Linked DNA regions of Oreochromis niloticus. The protein of the gene in region 1 interacts with the protein of each later gene in a pairwise test. Links are inferred from orthologs where the notes say so. Each region holds a gene or a part of one and is shown on either strand. Other genes may lie near its edges. The genes, in order: dusp12, ccnh and ppp2r3b.

Region 1 (7,834 bases):
TGTTAAAAAAAAATACCCAGATACTAATTAAAAATGACATTGTCAATAATTTACTGAGTGAATGTTCACAGTATGTGTTCTTACCAGTAAGGTTACTGGCCTTTTTGTGACTAAAGGCCGAAGCTCCTTCTCCTACTAAATGACTGAGAATACTGGAGCCACGAAATAGAGTTCGACTGCAAGGAGAAAGTGGAGGTTACTGCCTGCAGAAGCTGTAGCTCAAACTGGCACACACACCAGGCTGAATACCCCCTTTTCTCCATTCAGAAGCAGAGTCACTCAGTTCCTTGGATTCCTTAGATTACATTAGGAAATTACATATCCTATCCAAGATGTACAAACTTCAAGACAAACTTTAACAATACCAGGATACATTGGTGTGAAAAGTGATTGCCCCCTAACCCTAATAACTGGTTGGGCCACCCTTAGCAACAACTGCAATCAAGCGTTTGCGACAACTGGCAATGAGTCTCTTACAGCGACGTGGAAGAATTTTGGCCCACTCATCTATGTGGAATTGTTGCAATTCAGCCACACTCAAGGGTTTTGTCTCGTCAGTCCACAGAGTATTTTCCCAAAAGTCTTGGGCATCTTCAAGATGTTTTCTGGCAAAACTGAAATGAGCATTTATGTTCCTTTTGCTCAGCAGTGGTTTTTGACTCTGCCACGCAGGCCATTTTTGCCCAGTCTCTTACTTATGGTGGAGTCATGAACACTGACCTTAACTGAGGTACATGTGGCCTGCAGTTCTGTGAATGTTCCTCTGGGGTCTTTTGTGATCTCTTGAATAGGCCATTGCTGTGCTCTTGGGGTAATTTTGGTCGGCCAGCTACTCCTGGGAAGTTTAACCCCTATTCCGTGTTTTCGCCTTTTACAGAGTTGTGTAGGAATTTTCCAGACTGAGAGTCACTTTTTCACACAGGGCCCCGTACGTTTGGATTAGTTTTCCCCTTAAAAATAAACACCTTCATTTAGAAAATGCATTTTGCGCTTACTTTAAACATTTAAGTGTGACAAACAAAACCAAAAAAAAAAGGAAATCAGGAAGGTGGCAAACACTTTTTCACACCACTCTAAGTAGTTTGCTATGATCGGCTGTGAGTCATAAATTAAACTGTGGACTGTTGAGCTAAGAAGTAAAATCATCAACTTAACAAAGTGTTTTGTTTTTTTTGTGTGCCATCAGCTTCTTCCTATTAAAGACAAGTAATTTGAAGCATTCAGGTTCCATCTCTCACCTGCACTTCCTGCATCGATAGGATGCTTCAGAGGAGCTGGAGTGGGCAGGGTCAACAGCAAACACCTCCCTAGGCACCCTCTGTAACTCTGCTCAAACACATGCACACATACAGAAAGGAAACATATAATTTAAGAACAAGAAAGCACAACACAAATAACAAGAAGAGCTCAAATGTTTAACTATAATCTCAGAACGTGTGTGTGTGGTTACCAGGGTATTTTTCAGTGATCTTGGTTAGTCTGTATTGTTTGTACAGAGGACTGGAGGTATCCACCTCACACTGCATTGCTTCGTACAGACACAACTGCTCCTCAAAACCACTGTTGACCCTAAAAGACATACATTTCAGCAAGTGTGCTTTGGAGAATTAAAAAAATATATATATAAATTTTATGTGTGGAGTAAGAAATATAATCTCTGCAGAAGATAAACATTAAATACAAATAATAGTACTTTAAAGTGAAACACACACTTACTGTACATCTGGTTTGAGGCTCTTTAGTCTGTGATAAGCCTCAGTGAATCCCAGTTTGTATCTCTTCATTAGATAAGCAGTAACAATGGTGGCACTGCGACTCCGACCAGCCTGACTAAAACACACACAAAACCATGTTTGCAGTTTGCCACTTAACACGATTATTTCACATTTCATGTTTTCACAAGCTTGAGTATAATAAAAGGAGCATTTTTTAATCACAATATTGAAATTTGATATATAAAATTGCCTTACCAGTGAACCAGTGCAGCCCGGCCACCATCCACAGCCTCTTTAATGAACCCGAAACTGGTGTCCATGTAACTGAGGAGGTCAGAAGTCTCTTCATCTAAGACATCAATCCACTTCCTAACAAAGGCTCTATCATCAGGAAACAGTGGGCTGGGGTCTACAGAATCTACAGACAGGATGTGACTGATGTTCGCACTGACCAGTTCCTGGTGGTCGTTGAGGTTAGCTGCAGTGCCGATGTACAGCCCAGGGTCCACCAGAATCATGACTGCAGAGACATATAACCATGTCTATAACCATTTTTGTAGACCACATTTACAGCTTTAAACATTCTGATCACTGCCCAATTTCTCAAATCAAACCTTTATATTTTTTCCCCCTTTGGATCATTTTGGCATTTCATTTGTTAGATACCAATTTAAAATTAGAAGATTAAAATGTGAACATAAAAATATCAATAAGCATCAAAAACAAAAAATACTTTTTATACATACATACATACATACATACATACATACAAGTATAGGAATAGAATACAATTATGTTTTAATCTTAGAAGCAAATTTGGACCGCTGTCTGAATTTTAATTTCAAAGGTCACCCGGACATAAAAAGGGTCGAATCATCAAACAGTTTGCTGTCTTTGGCTTAAAATACGGTTTTTATTAAAAGCTTTTCCTCTTGGAAGTCACTGCTGCCACCATCGTTGCTGTTATTCATCAACTGATTACCATTCAGTGCCATGTTTCTCTATATATTGTCTCTGACACAGCAAAAGATTAAAAATAGGATGCTTTAGTTCAAAGAAACCGTCATTAGTATTATTTTCAAGTAACTACTTTTGTTTTCTGTGTCGCAAGTAGTGATCGTGTTCGGTTCAGTTCAGTTGCCAAAATATCAATCTGAACTTTCACTTTAACATCTACTCATTCTGACAACCCACACACCCTCACATCGTTCACTCACTCGCGATCTCTCGCAGTCGTTTTCGCCTTTTTGCTGATTCTCACCTGCTTCGCCTTTTAGTGTGTAACGCAGCTACTGATTTAAGAGAAAGTGAGTGCAGTGAAATACGTTACAGACTCAAATAAAATCCCAAAAAGTTAACGTGTAGTCTCTGTATCAGCATTTGGTTCCTGTTTTAAAATGCTCGGTCGGAAACGTAGATGTCAACACAAACACGCGTCGTTAGTTCCGACCTCGATACTTTCAAAATAATTTCAATAACTATAATAAGAATGGCAGAAAATTAAATAGTCAAAACGTATTTACATATACGCTCTATGTACAGCCAGTATCTCTGACGTTAAACAAAGCAAGAGGAACACAATTGCGAATACCAAATTTGGGTCATTTTACTGATAAAGGTTTTTTTTTTACTTGTTTTTCCCACCCACCCCTATCGATCATACCCCAGAAAAGTATTAATTGAAGATAAACTAGACAACGCTCGGAGAGCAATACAAAAATTCCAATAAATAATCTGGAGACCCTCTTGGCTCTTGGTTAGGGTGAATTTTTAATTTCTCTTAGCTATTTGTAATTAGCTGAACGTGAAAAGTATGTTAACTACATTTAATTTTCAGTTCAGTTCATTTTTATTTCAAACATATACATTCACCAACATTTCATAATATCATTCCATGCAGTTGTTTGAAAAGGAGTAGGCAGAAGTATATACTTATTTAGCCTTACCCCCTTATGTTTACATCTTAATCATTTCCTCATCATCTAAATTGAAAGAGGAAGTCTTACTTTGTTTGATAGTTCTTACATCATTTTAATAACTTTTCAAATGGGAACAATGCATTTAATTTACAACAAAGATAAAGTCAACATCACTTTACACTTCATTCTGTGTTTTACATCACTTTGTAAAGTGCAGAAAAGCCAAATTGTTATGTGAGGACACAGGGTCTGGGCAGATTAAGTAAAAAAGGGGAAAAGCACTTTGAAGTATTTACATATGGGATTTGATCTAGGCAAATATTTTCTGTCACTTAGGAACTCTCTCCCCCCCTCCCCCATATTTTGAACCATATTTTGTGTCCTGTCTGCTCTGTATTCCAGTTACTTGAATGACTTGCAGATGTCAGAACAGCTGCTGAGTTCAATAACAGACAGAAAAGCAACATTTCAAACTGTGATTTTTCATTTCTGCTCAAACCTTTTTCCACTTCATGTCAGACCGATTAATTTCTGTTTCACGGTCCTCATTGTCTTCCACAGAAGGCACTTTCTGTGCTAAAAGCAGGGAAATTAAAAATACATTACAAGCCTATGTTGTGCATAATATGTGACAACATTCAAATAAAATGATAGGAAAACACGTGAAATCACAACCACTCAACCTGGGCTGTCCCCTTGATGTACTCATTTCTGATCCTGTCCATCTTGCTCACTCCCGGTGAAAACCTTCAGCTACCAGCTCCAGTTTTGGTTCCAGACGATTTGTCAGAATCACAAGATGCTGGCAGATGTGTAAAAATAACTGCTTGGTGGTGGCTATGGCAGAACCTCCACAGAGGCCAGCAGGTGGATGAGGGAAAGGGGAGGAAGGAGGGGGAGAGACCCGTGGCGGCCGCCGGGCCGGCCGCGTTTCGTTTTGAGCTGAAAAGGAAGCGATTTGTCCCGTACTTCAGCTAGAATGAAAAAAGACACAAAGTTGGAGTTATTCTGTGTCTTTACGCTGCGCTGCTGCCTCTTCTTCTCTTATTCTCTCCCCCTCCCTCTCCTGCCGCTACTTGATGTCGGTTTGGATATCCTGGTGAGAGGGAAACATGAAGATGAAACCAGGAGATGTCCTTACTGAATCATCAGAGCTGAACAGGTGATGGAGAAACAGGTTTACCTTTTAGGTGACATGAATGAGTTGAAGGGAAGTTATGAAGTGTTTCTGAGAGACAAACACCAGGATCCTTTTCTACGTAGCTGACAGCTGGTAACTGTGCAGGGGCGGGTCTAGCAAAGTTTTGCCAGGGGGCCAGGTAGGGCATTAACAGGGAAAGGGGGGCACGAAGAAATACTTTTCTTTCTTATTCCATTTAAAATGTCTAGCTTTTAATAAATAATTATCTGGATCTTACAAGTAAAGTTTTTATCTGATGTAAAATGTATAGAAATCATACATATATACCAACAAGACAGTGTACATCACTGGCACTGTCACTGACAGCGTTTGTTTTCATTCAAAGGCTTTGTGGCTTTTCCTATAATACCTGGTGGGCTGGTCTCTAGTCAAAATGCCCGGGCCGATTTTTTGTCCCAGTCAAGCCCTGCTCACTACCATGTTGTAAATCTTCCCTTTTAATGTTGCTGCTGTCACAAGTCACCCTTGACACTTGTCTCCACCCACTCCACTGCCCTGCACTCTCTTCTTGACTGTCTATTGTATTGAATGGGTTACTCCCCAGGTATGTAAACTCATTTGTCTCCTATATGTCTGCTCCTTGCAGCTTTACTGTTACACCTGTCTCCTGCTTATTCACATATATCTACAGTGATCCCTCGCTATAACGCGGTGCACCTTTCGCAGTTTCGCAGATTATTTTTTGTGCAATTTTGCATCCGTGTTTTTCATTTATTTATTTTTTTTAACAGCGCATTGTGTTCTGCGTTCTGATTGGCTGTAGACCATTGTCAATCAATCCCGTGCCGTGTCTCCTGTACAGTACAGAATGCGTTCAGCTTGTCAAATTTATCAAAATCTTCTATCGCTAGCAGTGTGACTCTGAAGTGCTGTACTGTTTGTTTGTAAGTTTTCTCCAGCAAACACAAAAATGTCGATGAAACGTTTTGCACCATCAAAGGCACCTGTGGGTGCCTTTGGTTTTATTCTATAATAGCCTACTGGACTTATTTTTCTACGAAGGTTTGAACTTTTAGAGTGTTTAAACAAGATAGAAAAGTGTGAAAGTGTTCATGCCTGTTGGAGAAAAGTGTACAAAGTGTGTAGTGAGGGGTTTTACAGGCATAAAACATCTATAATAATTGTAAAAATTAAAGTTAGCGACTTCGCGGATTTCACCTATCGCGGGTTATTTTTGGAACGTAACTACAGTGATAAACGAGGGACCACTGTATTGTGTCTTGCTTCTACAGACTTTCATTCCTCTTCTCTCCATATCTCTCTTCTCTAATCTCACTATAGATCACAATGTTGTCTGCAAACATCGGGGACTACTCCTAGACCTTATCTGTCAATCTCTCGGTTTGCAATCAAGAAGGGTCATGCAGGGGCATGCAGCCTCCATCTCCCTCCATCATCACTGTTACAAACGCTTTTTTAGTCTGAAAAGTAAACTTTTTGGCTTAAAATGACAACAGCAGACCATTATGAATGATTCTATAGTCCAGTTCTATCTCAAACATCCTATTCATCATCCTAGTCCACATTTTTGGGGCATTTGAGTATTGATTATTACCGAGTTGTGACATATCATAATTTTACAATATTCATAAAAATTATAACTGTCATAAGCATTTATAACTTCCTAAGTCATAAATCCTTTGACAGGGGGCCATAAATCAGTGGTTTGAAAGACAGGGCATATAATCCCTTCTTCAGGGAATTAAATAAGCTTGATTTCCCTAAGGGGAAATAATAAGGCATATGACAGCAACTGAGAACAAAACAAACAAGTTTTATCAAAAGGAAAACTGGATAACAAAATAAAACAGGAAATGACTAATCAGTAATAAGAACAGCACATGGACAGACAGAGTCACAGACATGGAACCACCGGAGACTTTAGGAAAGCGCAAAAGCTGAGAAATAAGGAATCACAAAAACTAGAAAAAATAAATAGAAATTTTATAGACCAAAACACTAACTAAACCTCAAAACCATAACACCCACTCCCCTTTGTGACTAGTCATTAAAGGCTCTCCTTTTCCGAGAATGATGTGTTACTGGGAAAAGCATTAAGTATTAAGAAGTCTTTTGATTTAGACAAACCAAAAGTCATTAACTTGTTTTTTTAGAAAGTGCTTAACAGATCAATAACTGTGGAATGTAAAAACTCAAATTTATCTGAAAACATAAGATACTGTCATACAAGCTTTTCACATTGTGTTCCTAATAAAGCTGAAGTTAAAAGTTGGAATGAGCTAATCACACTAAGTAAACAAAGGAACACATTCCTTTCCCACTACTAAATAAACTTAAGCATGTAATTGGCTCTGACTATAAAAATGAAATAACAAGTAGGAACAAGTGAAGACAGTGAGAGGATGATACCAGGAGGGTGAGGTAATGTGAGCAGACACTGGTCAGCAGCCCACGGTCCCACCAGAGTCATTACCACTGACAGTAAAACTGAACAAAGTGAATGTGAATGGACAGGCACGATGTTGTGTCCCATGGCAGCTACAGACAGCAACAGGCACATTTCTCAAGTGAACTGTCTGACTTGTATATTGTATAAGTGACAATTACATGTGCTGGATGAATGAATCGGTTATTTCTACTGCCAGATGCTCTTTAAATACATGTTTCATGATGTCTGTCTGGACTCTTGTTTCTTTACACCTAACAAGTGTGTGTGTGTTGCTCTGAACTGCCCGCCAACATGCATCCCACAGTCTGTACATGGTCACAATGTGGGGTGCTAATAACGTTTTACGAGCTGCTTTAATCTGGCCATCTCGCCAATCACAATACCCTGAAGTAACCACAACCATCCTTGAGGGCTTATTAGAGGGCTCCCCATCACACATAATTGACTGTTCAAAATGAACCATATGAAGACGGCAGAACACATACACACATATATTCAGTGAAAAGGCCAGCAGGTGACTGTGAGCAGTGTGGGCGTGTTAATAGTGTGTTTGGTCTGGTGGAGTGACTCATTGACATTGTGTCCATCT
Region 2 (7,169 bases), on another chromosome or scaffold:
CACGTGAGTTGGATTGGCATTTAAAATGTATTCAGCTCTTCCTTATAATAGTAATAGTTTCTGTATCTTGCAGTCAATCGGACAAAACCGCAAGAAAAAAAAAAACTTGCTCTGGAGAAGCTAAAACAGCTCAATATCACCATCTTGTGGTGTCAACTTGAAGGTGCGGTTTACTCACGTCTCATGGAGTCGTACATCCTTGACAGCGTCTCCTTGTCCTCTTTCAGTCCTAAGCACTCGTTCAGGTAACTGGGCATGAGAAATAATACATAGAAGGGATTGGTTTTGATTAACATACACAGAGACAAACTTCTTCAGAGAAATTACATTTTTTACGTTTTTTTTCCCTGATTCAATCTTTGCTTTTGTAATGTATTTACTGTACATATAAATTAAATAAGCCAGCCAGTCGTCACTCTGGACTTTATGATGAAATTTTAAATTCTAAACATTAGCTAACTTTTTTTTCTTTTCTTTTTTTAAACAGCGAGGAAGATTAGATTTATAATTAACAGACATAATATTTCAAATCCGTGTCTGAAATTCAAACTGACCACTGTCACCTGGTTACTGATTTAAGAACTTTGTGTACTACCTCTCCATGTTAAGACCGGCTCTCGAGGCGCTGTTCAGAATAGCTGTCAGAGCGATCTGGGAGGGAGAAAAAAGTAGTCCTGCATCTGTCATGGCTGCCTGTGTCAGAAAGTCATCAGCAGTCTTCCTCAGTGACTCTGGGCTTTCCAGTGTAGGGTACCGGGTCTGGAAAAAGCGACAAGTTCGAATGAAAACTTAAGTAAGCGAGATTAGGGCAGCAGTAGTTTCCGTCTTCGTGTTTATAGTGTGAAGCAGTCATAGGACCACACCCACCTTGAGGTCGATGAGCAGACCCTCCATGGGTCTGTAGGGGTTGTGGACCACCAAATGAAAGTTGAGCTGCTGGATTAGCAGCAGCTCATACTCCAGGATCTGCTCCAGAATCCTTTCTTGTCCTGCTGGGGTCTCCTGTACAAGATTGCCCACAAACTGGGTGCTGGACACATTGAATTCATCTACTTTGCAGGCCAGGTATGTACACGTCAGCCTGAAACAACAGGTTGCTTAGAACAACGCTGAAAAAAACCCTGAATGCTACAATTAACTCATTATTCAACACGGCATGAAGGTTAAGCGGTTTTACTGTTAGTTAAATAAAGCATTTTTATACACAGCAAATCATACAGTGACCCTCCCCCTATGCCCTATGGATGCTGCACTTTTATCTTGGAAGGAAACATTCCCATTAGGAGGAAAGTGTCATAGCAGGAAGTAGGAGATCACTGAGAACAACTTCGGTTAAGATCGAAGAAAAAAAAACACCCAAAAAAACAACAACAATTGAATTCATTATGAGTTCGGGTAAAATTGTGATGTCAAAGAAAAAGAACCACAGTGTTCAGAGAATCTGTCTGCACTTAGTCTCTGTGACTTAATAATGTGACAGTGGGTGATGATCACGTGGGTCACCCCGTTAACACTGAGCACAGACTGAACACCTGAGATGCTTTGCCGCCACATACTCTTAGGCGTTTCTCATTCTGACATCTGCCCACATCATCTCTCTCCGCTGAAGATCAACTTTGACTCTTGAATTGAGGCTTTCAACGCATCTAAAGTCACATTAAGAGACCACCACAACGCAAACTGAGTTACACTACAACCGTCACATCACTTTGATCATTTTAATAAAACAGTTCAAAGTTTGCCTGTGAGTTTAACAAACTGTGAATTTCTAAAACACACCAAGAGATGTATGCTTCTGTGTACAATCTTCACTGTAAGGATGTCACCTCGTAGCCACAAACCCCTCTAAAACCCTACAACGTAACCTATGCAGTAACCTGATGTCCACATCTGCAAAGCTACACATCGTATTGACTCAGCATGCAACTGTTGTAATTGGCCTGCTCAGCACTGTTGAGTCTCTTTTACTACTGTCAACTACTTTTTTTCACCTCACTGTTTGAATTTATTAGAGAAAGAAAAAAAAACTAAACCTCAATATAAGGACTCACATATGTCAACAAATTCTTAGAGGGAAACTGCCAAACCTATCAGAAACTTTCCTTAACATACATTTCCTTTAATGTGTCACTTGTCTGTATCCCTCAGTGGACCCCGCGTTTTTTGCCCACCCCCAACAATACTGTTGGTTTTCCTTTCACCGACCAGCAGCACTTACATGATAATCCTGGGGTGGTACTCCATGACGGAGTTGCTCAGGTAGAATCTCCTGAAGTACATGACGGCTGTACCCTGCAAAACGAGAGAAAGACACGTGGTTCACGGATGTCCGCGAGGTCACATGGCTCTGTTCAAAGAAACCACATACATACATACCACCACAGACTTTGGCATTGTGGGCTTAAAAGCATTGCAGAATTCCAGCAGCCTCCTCTCATAGTGCCGAAATAGGACGTCTTCCTCATGACGCTGCAAGAACATGGACTCACTCCCCCCGGGCTTGTTCAAAGAGGAGGGAGTGAAGGTAACTGTCACACAGACGTTCATGGACTACATCTTTGGTTCAAATGTGCTTAATGACATGTTTAATCGCAGCTTACCTTCCTACTTTCTAGCGCCTTGTTGCGGAATTTCTGATTGGCCTTGCACCTCATATGCTCGATTTCATCTTCACTTTTAAAAATCCAGTATTTCTTCTGGGAGCTGTTGTGAAACATGTCGCCTGCTGTGGGGAACACCGCAACAAACCTGCCTGATAACGGGGACACACCGAAAAAAACGTCAACGTTAGCCTGCCGTCCAAACTTTGATACATCTGAAATAAAATAAAATAACTTACAGTTGTTGAGTGTATTTAAAGGTCAATCCATCCGCGACACCGATGCTGTGCGAAAATAATTTTTCTATGTACAAATGAGCGCGTTTAATGCCTCAAGACAGTTCAAAACTAACGTCTTATCAAGCGGACTCCAGCAATAACAAATCCCACGCGCGTCGCCATTGGATTACGTCGACCTCGTCGGTTATTGATGACGCACACAAACACACATACACATATACACACACACACACCATCTGAAATAAGTCGTATTTAGCGACGTTTTTGGTAGTTTTAGACGGAAATGCTGCTTGAAATGCGCTGAATGGCTTCAATTTATATCTAATTGGGGTAGTTTTGGTCCCCAGAGGCAAAAGCGTCCCCAATGAACGGGTGTGTCAGCTGATATAAGTCCCCAATTTTGACACAAGTAAACACACAGACGCACACACAGATAAGCAAACACTGAAAACGCCCCCCAAAAAACAGGAGGTTGGAAAGAAAACGACTGAAGCGCCGTGAAGACGTTTCACCTCTCACCCAAGAGACTTCTTCAGGTGATATCCCACCTTTGCGTGGTCACGTGTGATATAGCTGCCACTTTTGACAGTCTGTAGCATTGAAAGAGGTGTCTGACCTTATGCGTCCTCTACACTCGGGTTAGCACACGCTAAATAACCCAGAATAAATAAGCATGTAAACCTTGAATAAAGGCCCGCATTAACAGCAGCCCCCCTCCCCCCCCCTTTCCCCCTTCTTCTTTAAATGAGCCAGGACTACATAAAGTTCACACTGCTAAAGCTGGTTTGTGACTATATGTTAGTTAAAATCAAGGATTTGGATAATCTTTTAGTGGGGGGTGGGGGGCAGAAATGCGCAACAGAAACGAAATCACACGGTATGTTTAGACAGAGCCACTCAACCCCCCACCCGTGTTTCCGCACGCCCTCATTTGCATAAACATGAGTAATTTATGAATAATAAATGCCCTTGCATTCAGCGGGAGCCGTTAATTTGCATATCACCACAGCTACAGTTTTATTTCCTTAGTGCGGCGTTATCATGAAGCCCTTCGAGCCTGCATAAAACCAGGCTCAAAGAAATGACGCTTTAACAGGTATGTGCGCACTCGGGACTATTTTATATAATCTTAACCTTTTTCTCTACAGGCGCTTTCCGTGTGAACGCTCGCGTCTGAGCTCTGTCTGTGATAGGCTTGTGCACAAGGCTACGCCGGGCTTCTACACTAGCCATCGCTCGGTCTTGCCCTGTAAATTGCATAAACATGAAGTGCCGATGCATTATTGATGAGACCATTGCAACGTTTACTGTATGTGCGCATATGTGTGCGTGCGCGGGGCTGACTGTGCATGCACGCTTGTGTTGTCAGCCTAACACCTCTCCCTCTGCTATTTCGCATAATTCTGCAGTGTGATGACTTATTTTTGTCTTTCTGTGTTGTGTTGGGCTATCTTGAAGGTTTTTGTTTGTTTGTTGTTGTTGTTGTTGTTGTTGTTGTTTTTACATTTCTTGTGTTTAATTTGTCATTTATATATGTATGTGTAGGGGTTTTTTTTTTCTGTTTTGAGACTTCATCACTTCATCCTGTGCCTTCACTATTTACAAAAGAAATGCTGGCTTGATGGTGAGGCAGCAAGTGAAATCTGCCTCCCCGTGAGTGTGTATGTTCATGTGATGGGTGATTTGAAGGGAGAGACGGCACAGTTTTAGGTCAGGTGTGTGTGTGTGTGTGTGTGTCCCTGTGAGTAAAGGTTGCTCCTATGCAATCTGACAGGCAGTGTTTTATGGGAAATCAAACTTGGGTGATTTTGTGGCATTGCCAGATCAACTGAATGATCTTTGAGCCTCCCTGATCGAGTTAGACTCATCCTCCCAGAGTCGAGCCCACACTCCTGCCTGTTATATTTCAGCCGCATATGAAAACCTTTTCAGGCGTGCTGAAATAATTGCAATTCACGGACACAAAGTCAGCTAAAATTCAGCCGCCGATGCTGTGTGAACCATCACCTCGCCTGTACGCAGCTTTGTAAACTATTCATGGCGGTGATAATGCTGAGGAGGGAGGCGAGGAGAAGCTGGAGGAGGATAATCCCCACCCCGTGGCCCACCTTCCTCATCTCATCTATGAAGTTACTTTCTAGCACGAGAGGAAATAATCTGGATATAACCTTGACAATGATGCAGATGATTTACCAGAATGAGCCTGCCTAATCCATTTTTTTGCCCGCCCTTGCCCTGATATTCCTCGTGTTTGCTGCAGCTTTCAATCCATTTCAGCTTCACACGCCAACAATTAAATCCCGATTCCGACTCGCCGCATGTGCATATTAATTTTCTACTCTCCATCCTGCAGCATCCAACGACACCCCCACCCCACCCCATCCAAATTGGTACCCAGGTTGCTATGGCAACCATAAGTGGCAGTGCTGATGTCAGAAACTCCTCCAAGGACAGTCATGCAGGCATTGGGTCAGGTGATATGCAACGCTGCTGGGCATCCAGGAACAAAATGGCGGCCACTCCCCCCACCACCGCCTCAGTTTTCTTTTCTTTTTCTTCTTTTTTTCTTAACCACATGTGAGACTCTCTCTTTGAGCTTAAACAAAAGCGAGGAGTGCACCTGTGCTTCCCCCCCCCTCTCTCTCGCTCTCTTTTTGTTTTGAAATGTGTGATATGGATGATGTGGGATATTCTCTGTGTGATTGGTGTGAGCGAAAGGCATCACAGAGCTGAGCTGTCTGAGCCCCTCAGAGATCGGCTGCCTGTCTGAAGAATTTAGAAATCTGTCTGGCTATTTAAGCGCATTCACATCTGTGTGTCCCTTTGTGTTTGAATGTGTCCGTACACTGGTTTTCTCAGGTTGGCATTAAGCAGTCAAAGGTCCCCCCCCCTCCTCCCCTTCAGACACTCAGCGCTCCCCCACTGCCTCTTTCTCTTCTCTGTCTCTAATTGAGCTTTGTGTCTACCTCCATCTCCATTCAAATCCAGCCTCATTTGCATACTGCCGCTGCGTGCTGGACAGCTCCCCAGCTGTACTGTACAGAACTAAATGAGGAACACAGACCCACTTTGCGTGACGTGAATACTAAGCAGGCGCGATAGTCATTTTCCTGTTTCCTGAAAATACTACCTGAGAGATCAGGGGTAAATAGGAAGGAGTGCGGTTGTATCAAATCAGTTGCTTCAGAGACAGACGGGCATTACCAGACTGGGAAGGGGATGCTGATATAGAGGCAGAATTAATTAATTTTTTAAACGAAACAAGGCACTGTAAAAAGCATCATATACTCTAATTTGACTTAAAAGTTACCAGACGTGTTGTGATGTAGGCTACGAAGGAATCTGTTGACAGTTTAACATTTAAAACACAAGCGTTTTGGTGCTCCAGTTTCAACCTGACATCATTTATTTTTGTATTTAAATTTAAATCCTGGAAATTCTGGAGGAAAACAGGTTTCACCCACTTTTTCTTTTCCTTTTTTTTTTTTCTTTTGCCAGTTACATGACAATTTGGCCTCCTATTGGCAGGTTTAATTTGAACCCTACTGCCCTTTGGCTTCACTCTCACATCATTCCCGTTGAGGCCCGATTTTAAGGTCCCTTGCATTTTAGCAGAGGCAGTTGCTCAGCATTGAGGAATTTTTAGGGACATTTTGCTTGAGTGCACAGAGACACGTAATTATGCTGTATTTTTGATGCACTCCAGTCACATTTAACAGAATGTTAAGCACGCTCTTAATGGGAAGCTTAAAACCCCCCCAAGGCCAATTTTCATTTCGAGCATACTGGTAGAGATTTGTGACATTTCAACTCATTTCAGTATTCAATCAAAGACATAGCTCTAGGGAGAGCACAACTAGCATGCTCTTTACGGTAAATCCAACTGTCCTTGGCTTTCCTATGCAGCCGCTTCCTCCATAGTCACACCTTTGAGAATTGGAGCAAATTAAATGACCCATTTTAGCTTTACCTTGAAGACAAATGCAAACACTGTGAAAATGTTTCAGTTTTTTCTTTTCTTTGTTTCTTCAGTGAGTTTGGATATAAGGGCTTTATTTAGAAAACAAAATCACATGTGCTCATTTTTAAATGTCTGCCAGTGTTTAAATCAGCAGGGAATGAAAAACACATTGTGCTCCATCATTCTGAGCATCTTAGGCTTTGAGGAGAATGTAGAGGAGGACAGACAGAGTGATGTTAAGGTGCAGTCATTCTGGTGAAAATCCAATCCCTTACTGTACAATGCTCCAACAAGTCCTCCAAATGACCCTTTATATCAATGTACAATGTCCTCACCTCTCCAAATAGCCGGGCCATTTGAGTAAAATGC
Region 3 (8,146 bases), on another chromosome or scaffold:
CATATAAGATCATTACACTTGAGTGAATTGTTTGTGTATGTATCTGTGTCTGCTTAGAAAGCAAGTGAGAGGAGTACAGCCCTGACACATCCCAAGTGAAGTGCACCCTCTACAGGCAACTGTTACACATTTTACATCCTTGTATAGCATCTGCAGAACTAGACTGAAGAAAATGTGCAGATTTTGCAAAGTATTTCACTGCAAGCTCACCTGAGAAACAACATACAGTATACCGAGTTGCATTTACACACTATATATGACTCCATTAAATATATATATCTATATATCTGTCGACTCTCTTTGGTATGCTCAAAACCAGGTTTTCCTTCTTAAGCTTTCCAACTCCATACATGCACCTCTTTCATTAATATGTGATGAGAGAGAAAATCTCCAAAGACCCCAATAGGCAGATGCATTGTTTCTCTTTTAAAGTCATCTCAGATGGAAGGAGTGAACTTCAGAGCCTCAGTGAAGTGTCTAATGAAAGAAGTCTCCTCCTCCGCGGCTCCATTTCGCACAGCATATTAGGAATCTAAATGTTGACTGAAGACAGTTTGATTCTGCGTCTGTGATTTTCTTAAGGAATAAAAACAGCGTTGCGTGTTTACAGTGTAGCCATGAAAGAGCTACGAGAAGGCTCATCACTACCCGATGCCATTTTGGGAGGCGGAACGTGAGGTTCATACCACAGTTCATTTGAAAGCCATATCAAACAGAGGATTGTTTAAGACCAAGATCAAAGCCATTTCTGCTCAAAAAATATCACTAGACTATAGAAACATTCTTGTAAAATTCCTGCTTTATGCTAACAATTATTTCAGCAGTGTCTGGAAATAAAACAAACACAATGGGCAGAGGCAAATAAAAATGACATTTCAGGACTGTAGTGGTAACTCGTGTACCTTGTTTTGTATTACATGCCACAGGAATCTGAGAGTTTAAATCACCCTGTCAGCCAGAGTTTCATCACTTGCTGTGCAACAACAACAGCAAAAGAATAAAAATCCTTAAAAATAATCTAATAAAGGCTAGTGAGGATGGGAGCAACTTTCTGATTATATTAATGCACTTCAGTATAGAAACTTTGTGCTTAAAATATTTCCAGCTAAGTGGGTTCCTGAGTCATTCCTGCATTTAAACAGTTGCAACAACAGGCACTGTGTTTAATTAATGATTAACCTCCTAAGACCCGAACTCTTTCATGGCATGCATTTTCAGTTTCTCTTTGCTATTTGGGCTGATTGGGACCTGATAAATGTAAAAACAAACAATTACCTGTTTTTTTTGTTGTTGTTGTTGTTGTTTTACCTGATTTTTGTTTCTGAGAAAAATTTGATCCACATATGAGGGCATTCATTTTAAATTTCGATAGAACAGTGGCAGCATAACATCCTCGTAAGTGGATATCAGGCCCTTGTAGAGCAAAATTTAGAATTGTGGTCTAGACAGCCCAAAATGTGATGTCCACATATGTGGACGCCAGGTTCTAGGAGGTTAAACATGTCAATACTACTCCTACACTAAATGATTTTCATTCATTATAGTCCACCTTATAATTTATATATACAATTATTTGGACTTTTAATAAGACCTCTAACATTAAAAAATGTAAATCTACTCTTCTACAGTGTTAAAAGTCCCATTGACAGGCATAGAGGCTGAAATGTGTTTTCCCAGTGCTAACACTGGCTCTTGGTTCAGTAGGATTGTATTTTTTTAACTAAAGCAAGTACACTCATGTTTTATACGGAGCACAGATAAAAGAACGAGATGCCTGGAGAAGATAAAACCATATATGTTGCTCTAAATGTGGAGTTATTGAAAAGAAGCAGCGTCTGTATCAGCATTACTTTTTACGCATCTACTGCTTACTTTTACTCCTGGTACTCCAAGCTTAAAATCATTTCTTATGCAGTTTGCTGTTTTCTGCAGCACACATTTGACAATGTATGTTGAAGCAAAGTCTGCTCGTGTGTCGCTGAGGAGGAGAACAGTGCCACGATGAGTTATTTTAATACTTAAAACAACATACGCATAAATTGCAGCTGAACAAATAGTTTAACAACATAATGAAATACAATTTTTAAGAAAGCACTTTCTACTAGTTTCTGTTGTGTTTGCAAAATGATTGGGGAATAATATCACCGTAACTTAACAGTAACTGCATATTATTTACATTTCACAATCAAAATCTTTTCAACTCGCTGTTGTCATGTACTTATTTAGTTGTTATATATTCAAAGTCATAAAACAGAAAAGAAAATATTAAATTGCTATTCCACATATCTTCTGGGAAATCAGTTAAAACTATTTGGGTCATTTTGTCAAATTTCAAGCAGATGGAGAAGTCATTTGTTTGTCTGATTGGGCCTTGTTCTTATCTCTGCCTTGTACAAAAATGTACCAAATGAGCTGGTTTAAAACAAATGTGCAACAGAGGTTAAGACCACTTAGAAGCAATTGAGACAAAGGTGGCAACGTTGCTCACAAATTTGTCACTGTCTTGACTTTGCGTTGTAAACGTCCCTACTGAATGAAAGCCAAAGTCAAAGGTGAAGATGTTTGGATTGGTATCAGATCCTGTAAGATGTTCAAGAACAACTAGCTTGAGAGAACTATCAGATTTTCTTTGAGTGTAAGTAAAAGCACTGTAGACCATCCGTCTACAGTATGTTTTAAAGCCATTTTTACACTTTTACACAACAAAAGTTATCCGTACATTACTTATTAAAGACTGCTCTCCTTCTATGTAAGTAATTTATGTGAAACTTCAGCCACAAAAAAATCTCACATCGCAATCTGGATCTTTTAAATGAAGAGAAAAGAGTAGCTAAACTTACCAATGTCAAACAAACTTAAACCTTAAAATAACCATGGCCCATTGCCTTTTCTAGCATGTGAGTACGGTATGGTCCAAATATTTCTCTACAGCACATAACCACAACACAACACTTTTAACTTTATTCACTCCCCTTATTAGAGCAGATTGCTTATCGTCTACTTCACAGAGCGCCCATATAGCATAGCTGACAGCAGTAAGGGCGAGCTGCACACATAAACCCCTCACTAACACTTTCCTACGCTAACCAGCTGTCCCCCTGTGGTTTCAGACTCGGCCAAACCTTTGAAATGTCCTTCAAGGCGTGAAAAAACAACATGCACACTGCTTTGGGTAAAATCCTATTTGTACACTATAATTACACTTTGAAAAGTTGCAAAGTCTAAAGTTTCAAGACCTTCACTTTTTCTCTTCTCATTTCGGATATTGATTGGGCTCTAAAACACATGTAAGGCTCGCTGCTCTACAGAACAAAGAGGTTTCTCATTACGTGCCGCGCCTCAGACAACTTTGGATGTTTCAGATTTGATTTACTCGCGTTATCAAGGGAAGCAATCAGAGGAATTCAGTCGATATTTTTCACAACTGCGGAACCGCCGTTAATGCCCTCTTAACAACAAAGCTACAGGCACTTTGAATGTTCTTATTAACGAGATAGAGGTTTGGAGTGATAGGTGTCCCCAATGTCTTTCATGCCAAAAAGAAAGAGAAACATCAGTAAAGCCCGTCAGCATACCACTGCGGTATGGGCTCCATCAAAAAGTAACTTTTTAAAAATTCAAAATCACCTTCGAAAATACATCCGTCATGTCAGAAGTCATAAAGCTCCAGTAAAGTAAATTAAAGTCATTAGAAACAAATAATTACACACAGTGCAAATGCCAAAAAACTGGTGTTTAGAAAAAATGTTTACAGGCATAATCAGTCAATGCCAAAAGAGAAAGATTAGTCCAGACAAAATTTGTTCTGTTGGCTGCATAATAAACATAATTACCCAGCAACATTGTATTCACAGAAACAAACAATAACCAACATGTTAGTTTTGGCTGCAGTGCTTGTGTAAATGAGAAGAATTCCACGTGAAATTGGTGTGCCATTAGTACCGACCCTGTGATCATGAAATCAGTTTTACTAATGTAGACAAGACTCAAGTACAAAAACACCAAACCATTAAATCAGTGGTTGAAGCCTGGGTCTTAGGTCTGTTATAAAGCATGCCTTTCTGATGAAAAAACATAATAATACTCCACTGTGTTTTCTTTTATTGCAGGTGTCATATATGGTATCAATAATCTAAAATGACCTTTTCCTGTGTTGCTTGTTTTCTATGCTTGGGGATGCAATGAGGGAGCCACGATGTCTGGGGCCACTCCCCCGCACATTAATCAATAAGTATGTCCAGCTCCATATACAGCAGGTGCTCAGTCCAGCTGCTTTGAGAAGACAGAGTGGAATTGGACACATATGCATCATTGTTATTCATGCACAGAGTCAGAATCAGGTTTGTACGATGCTGAACTGGATAGACAGGACTAGTTTCATGGAAATGAGTAGTGCACTGATGAACAGCTCTCGCCGGACATCATACAAACCGACCATACATTATCAAAGGGAATGCAGATGTACAGGTTAAATGAGAAAAAGACTGAATGAACGCCTGTATTAAATTAGTGTCTCAAGATGCACACGGCAATAATAGCAACCTCATACAATTTACACTAATCCACAATATATCGTAAACTTACTATATATTATATTACATGTTTATATATTTTTTACAACTATAATACTTAACAGTCATAAAAATGAATTTATTAAACTTAGGAGATGAAATCATTGGACAACAGGTACGTTATTAAGTCCAAGTCGACGGGCTACGTTTAAAACTGTATAATGTTTATACTTACTGAGACAGACTTGGCAGTAAGGCTTTTGTAGTTACTTATAACTGAGAATACTGCAGTGTTACAATAGGCTTATGTTATTAAGCTAACGGTGGAAAAAGAACCATTAAATGAGAAATACGTCCGCACTTTTAATTTTAACAGGTGTGCGTCAGCACAAGCGCTTACTGATCCCGCGGGAGAAACCGCTGCCACAGCGTGGACGATCTCGCGATAACGCTGTGTGGTTACCAGGGGAACGAGAGCCTGAAAAGTTGTTCCTGTCTGCTGTGTTTTCTCCCAGAGAAATGAATTTCACCGGATTTTCGGTGCTGCTTTTATGTTTCACTGTTAGCCGAACGTACGCTGAGCATCATCGCTTATGAAGGAAATGTAGAGTCATATTAACGTGTTTTGCTTTGCTGTCCATTCACGGCAAGGTGGGTGCATTTATTGGCTAGTTGGCGCTAGCTGCTAAAGCTATAGTAGCTAAACCTGTTGTAGTCCCCTATCGTCCATAGTAGTATAGGTTTAATTGACGGAAGCTTTTGAAATGTTTACTTTATGCAGCCGTTTTTGCCATGTGGTGGATTAAAATTGGCTTAAAATATTATTGAAGTAATATGGGTTCCGCACTTTCGCCTATGGGCTAAAGCATTGACGCTTCGCGCTAAAATTCAATAACGTGAGTGAGTGTTGGTTTGTACTCAAAGCAAGGGCTACTGCTCGTGTCATTTTTTTTTTTTGCTCAGTGACCTACTCAGCGCCGCTGCTCTGACAGTTTCGTGTCATCTATGGACCTTGTGTGGGAGGCAGATATTGGTGGTGTGAGGTTAAAGATGCTTTTATTTCTACGCAGGTACGGTCATCAGAGGAAGCTTTAGACATCATTGCCCAAAATGCCGTCACCACAAGTTCTCCAGCCGGTTCTTAAAATGAAAGTAGACGAGCTTTTTCTCAACTGGTTGAGTGATCCTACAACTCAGTCAATACTCAAAGATTATCTTGATCTAATCAAAAGTGGACAGCCTGTTGAATTGAGTATTGGGGACGCTCAAGATAAAAGGTCGTTAAGCTTCAATGAAAACAACAATGTGGCATCACAGAAGAACCTGGCAGAGAAGAAGCCTGCTCCCTTAAGTACACCTTTCAGCACCCCATCTACCAGTACCCTGCCTTCCCGAAGTAGCAGTAACACCAGAATGACTGGACCAAGTGGAAGAGTACTACGGAGATCTCTCAGCACAAAGAAGGTAAACTGTGTATTCAAACAATAACTCCAATAAATATTTTCCATGTTTTTTGATAAGCATGTAACTCATTGTTGAAAAATGTAGCCAAAAAGTCTTAAGGTGCCGCAGGGAAAAAATCCACACACATACTAAGATCCACTAAACAAGGAGTTCTGCTGTTAGTCAGCTGTTAGTCAGTTTTTGTTTTTTTAATCCTAAAGGTGTTACACTACAGAGCTTTTGATTTACTACTATGAAAAATAAGGTGTGCCACCCTGTTCTTTTTCTTCCTGAAACCACCTGAGGTACTTGAGGGTGTGTTGGACAATGATTTGAATATTTTAAACTCTTTGCATACCGATAGTAAACATGTACTTAAAAGTCGAAAGGGGAACCTCTCTTTGCTTTCTGGTAAGCCAACTATAAAAGCAGTCCTGGCTTGGCATTTTTTTACACAACAGCTTATCAGTCTGGTAAGTTTATCTTTATAGTTTTAGTGCACTTATTTGTATGTTTAACTGGCAGTTTATCTGCATATCTTTTTGGTATTGTGCAATCCATACAGTAACCTGAAATTAAATCCATATTTGCACATTTAAACCAGGGTTTTCCTGGCACAGAATGGGCCTTTTGGTGGGGCAGCAGCAAAGCGAGTATGATGTGGAACAGGAAATGCAATCACTATGTGGTACCTTATTTGATAGAAAACTATGGGTTTTCTTGTTATTTCTGACCATTTTAGGATCAAATAATGTTTATCGGCCTCATTAAACTCTAATTAATGAAACTAGCTGAAATCATAAACTGGTGGTTTTCCAGTCAGTAATGACCATAACAACTGCTATGTTAATGTGAGTTAAATGAATGACGGACAAATTTAATGTACTTGCAAAAAGGACATGTCTGAGCTTGAAATTCTGGGTCAGTGTTAAAAATGACAATTTAGCCAAAAGTGGTAGAGTTGTAGGGCCTTTTTTGTTGTTGTTGTTATTGTTTAGTTTTCCTTTTTGGAACAAGGAAACAAGGAGAAAAAAAAGAAACTTCCCTCTTCATCACACTATATTAAACAAGATCTAAAACAACTTTTAACCAGGGCAAAACTGATGCAACACACTAGATAAACATTGGCTTCTGCCACTGATAATTTACTTTAGCATCAAAATATCTCATGTGAAAAAATCGTAAACATTAATGTTATCCTCCTTCTAGTTACATTTTTGCAATCTAGAAAAAATTCAGTTTTAGCCAAAAGTTGAGCTTTGTCATACAAAGCATACATGTCCAGTTTAATGGTACATCTAAATGGACATAGTGTGCATTTGGCTTATATTTGCTTAGCATCTGTCTTTGCAAAGATTTTTTGTAATTCTTTTATTAAATTCTGTATTAAACTGATTTAAATGTCAAGTTTGCCTCACTTGTACGTTCTGAGATCTCTGTTTGCTCTGACTGGCCACAAGAGGATGCTGAGTGGCCTACAGCATCAAAGACATTCAGAGGCTGTCCACTCTGCCCTGTCACAGTGGAGCCTTCTTGTCTGTAGGCGTATGTAGTGATTATTAGTCAAATACTTTCCAAATGTTCAGGCCTCACCCACGAATTAGTGTGGTATGAGAAGTGGGAGTGTCTGAACCTAGCCTGTCCCTGGCGCTCTGGTTACATCTTTCAGTCTGTGCGCTGTACTTCTTACTGTGCTGGGGCCAAGGTGTTTTACTTTGGATTGTTTAGATTATGGCCTAAAAAGAATCTACACAAAATAGTTAGCTGCCCGTAAATATTTTGTATATCTGCTCAAGGACTCATAATCTGTTAGGATGAGAAGTGCAACGTGAAAGCCTAGAGTAGTGATAGATTATGGACATTAGTGCATGTGATGACAGTGAGACAGCCTGAGACAGCTGGAGGCATACGCTACTCAGGACCCCACCTTCTACATGTTAGTGACATGCTAAAGAGGTGCATGAGGAGATCTTCAAGTACACATGTAAAACAACAGAGCAGGAGAATGAGATCTAATGTTTGTTTCAACTTACATGTTTATATATTAGAAACATGACTAGCAGTACCAGTAGTAGCAGTAGAAGTAGTATGTTATAAAATAAATAATTATGCTTATCTATGGTCTTACAACTTACTACGTAGCCTTATAGGCTCAGACAAACAACGTATTTCAATTGAGGACAATAAAATGA

Evidence for each region.
Region 2: the proteins of dusp12 (region 1) and ccnh interact in binary tests that used the Homo sapiens proteins (3 or more experiments, as listed by UniProt). The two-hybrid records come from large-scale screens. The link is inferred for Oreochromis niloticus from reciprocal best matches to the Homo sapiens genes DUSP12 and CCNH.
Region 3: the proteins of dusp12 (region 1) and ppp2r3b interact in binary tests that used the Homo sapiens proteins (3 or more experiments, as listed by UniProt). The two-hybrid records come from large-scale screens. The link is inferred for Oreochromis niloticus from reciprocal best matches to the Homo sapiens genes DUSP12 and PPP2R3B.

Annotation. Positions count from the first base shown.
Region 1 is NC_031982.2:2,057,423-2,065,256, forward strand, and holds the start of dusp12 (dual specificity protein phosphatase 12), read right to left. Parts: upstream 3,135-7,834; 5' UTR 2,933-3,134; intron 2,236-2,932; 5' UTR 2,234-2,235; coding exon 1,971-2,233; intron 1,831-1,970; coding exon 1,717-1,830; intron 1,570-1,716; coding exon 1,451-1,569; intron 1,327-1,450; coding exon 1,239-1,326; intron 177-1,238; coding exon 85-176; intron 1-84. UniProt on the Homo sapiens protein: Dual specificity phosphatase; can dephosphorylate both phosphotyrosine and phosphoserine or phosphothreonine residues. Can dephosphorylate glucokinase (in vitro).
Region 2 is NC_031977.2:16,108,041-16,115,209, reverse strand, and holds the start of ccnh (cyclin-H), read right to left. Parts: upstream 3,008-7,169; 5' UTR 2,840-3,007; intron 2,753-2,839; 5' UTR 2,718-2,752; coding exon 2,601-2,717; intron 2,500-2,600; coding exon 2,377-2,499; intron 2,293-2,376; coding exon 2,219-2,292; intron 1,082-2,218; coding exon 868-1,081; intron 760-867; coding exon 596-759; intron 250-595; coding exon 179-249; intron 1-178. UniProt on the Homo sapiens protein: Regulates CDK7, the catalytic subunit of the CDK-activating kinase (CAK) enzymatic complex. CAK activates the cyclin-associated kinases CDK1, CDK2, CDK4 and CDK6 by threonine phosphorylation.
Region 3 is NC_031987.2:23,788,172-23,796,317, forward strand, and holds the start of ppp2r3b (serine/threonine-protein phosphatase 2A regulatory subunit B'' subunit beta), read left to right. Parts: upstream 1-4,974; 5' UTR 4,975-5,162; intron 5,163-5,581; 5' UTR 5,582-5,621; coding exon 5,622-5,975; intron 5,976-8,146. UniProt on the Homo sapiens protein: The B regulatory subunit might modulate substrate selectivity and catalytic activity, and might also direct the localization of the catalytic enzyme to a particular subcellular compartment.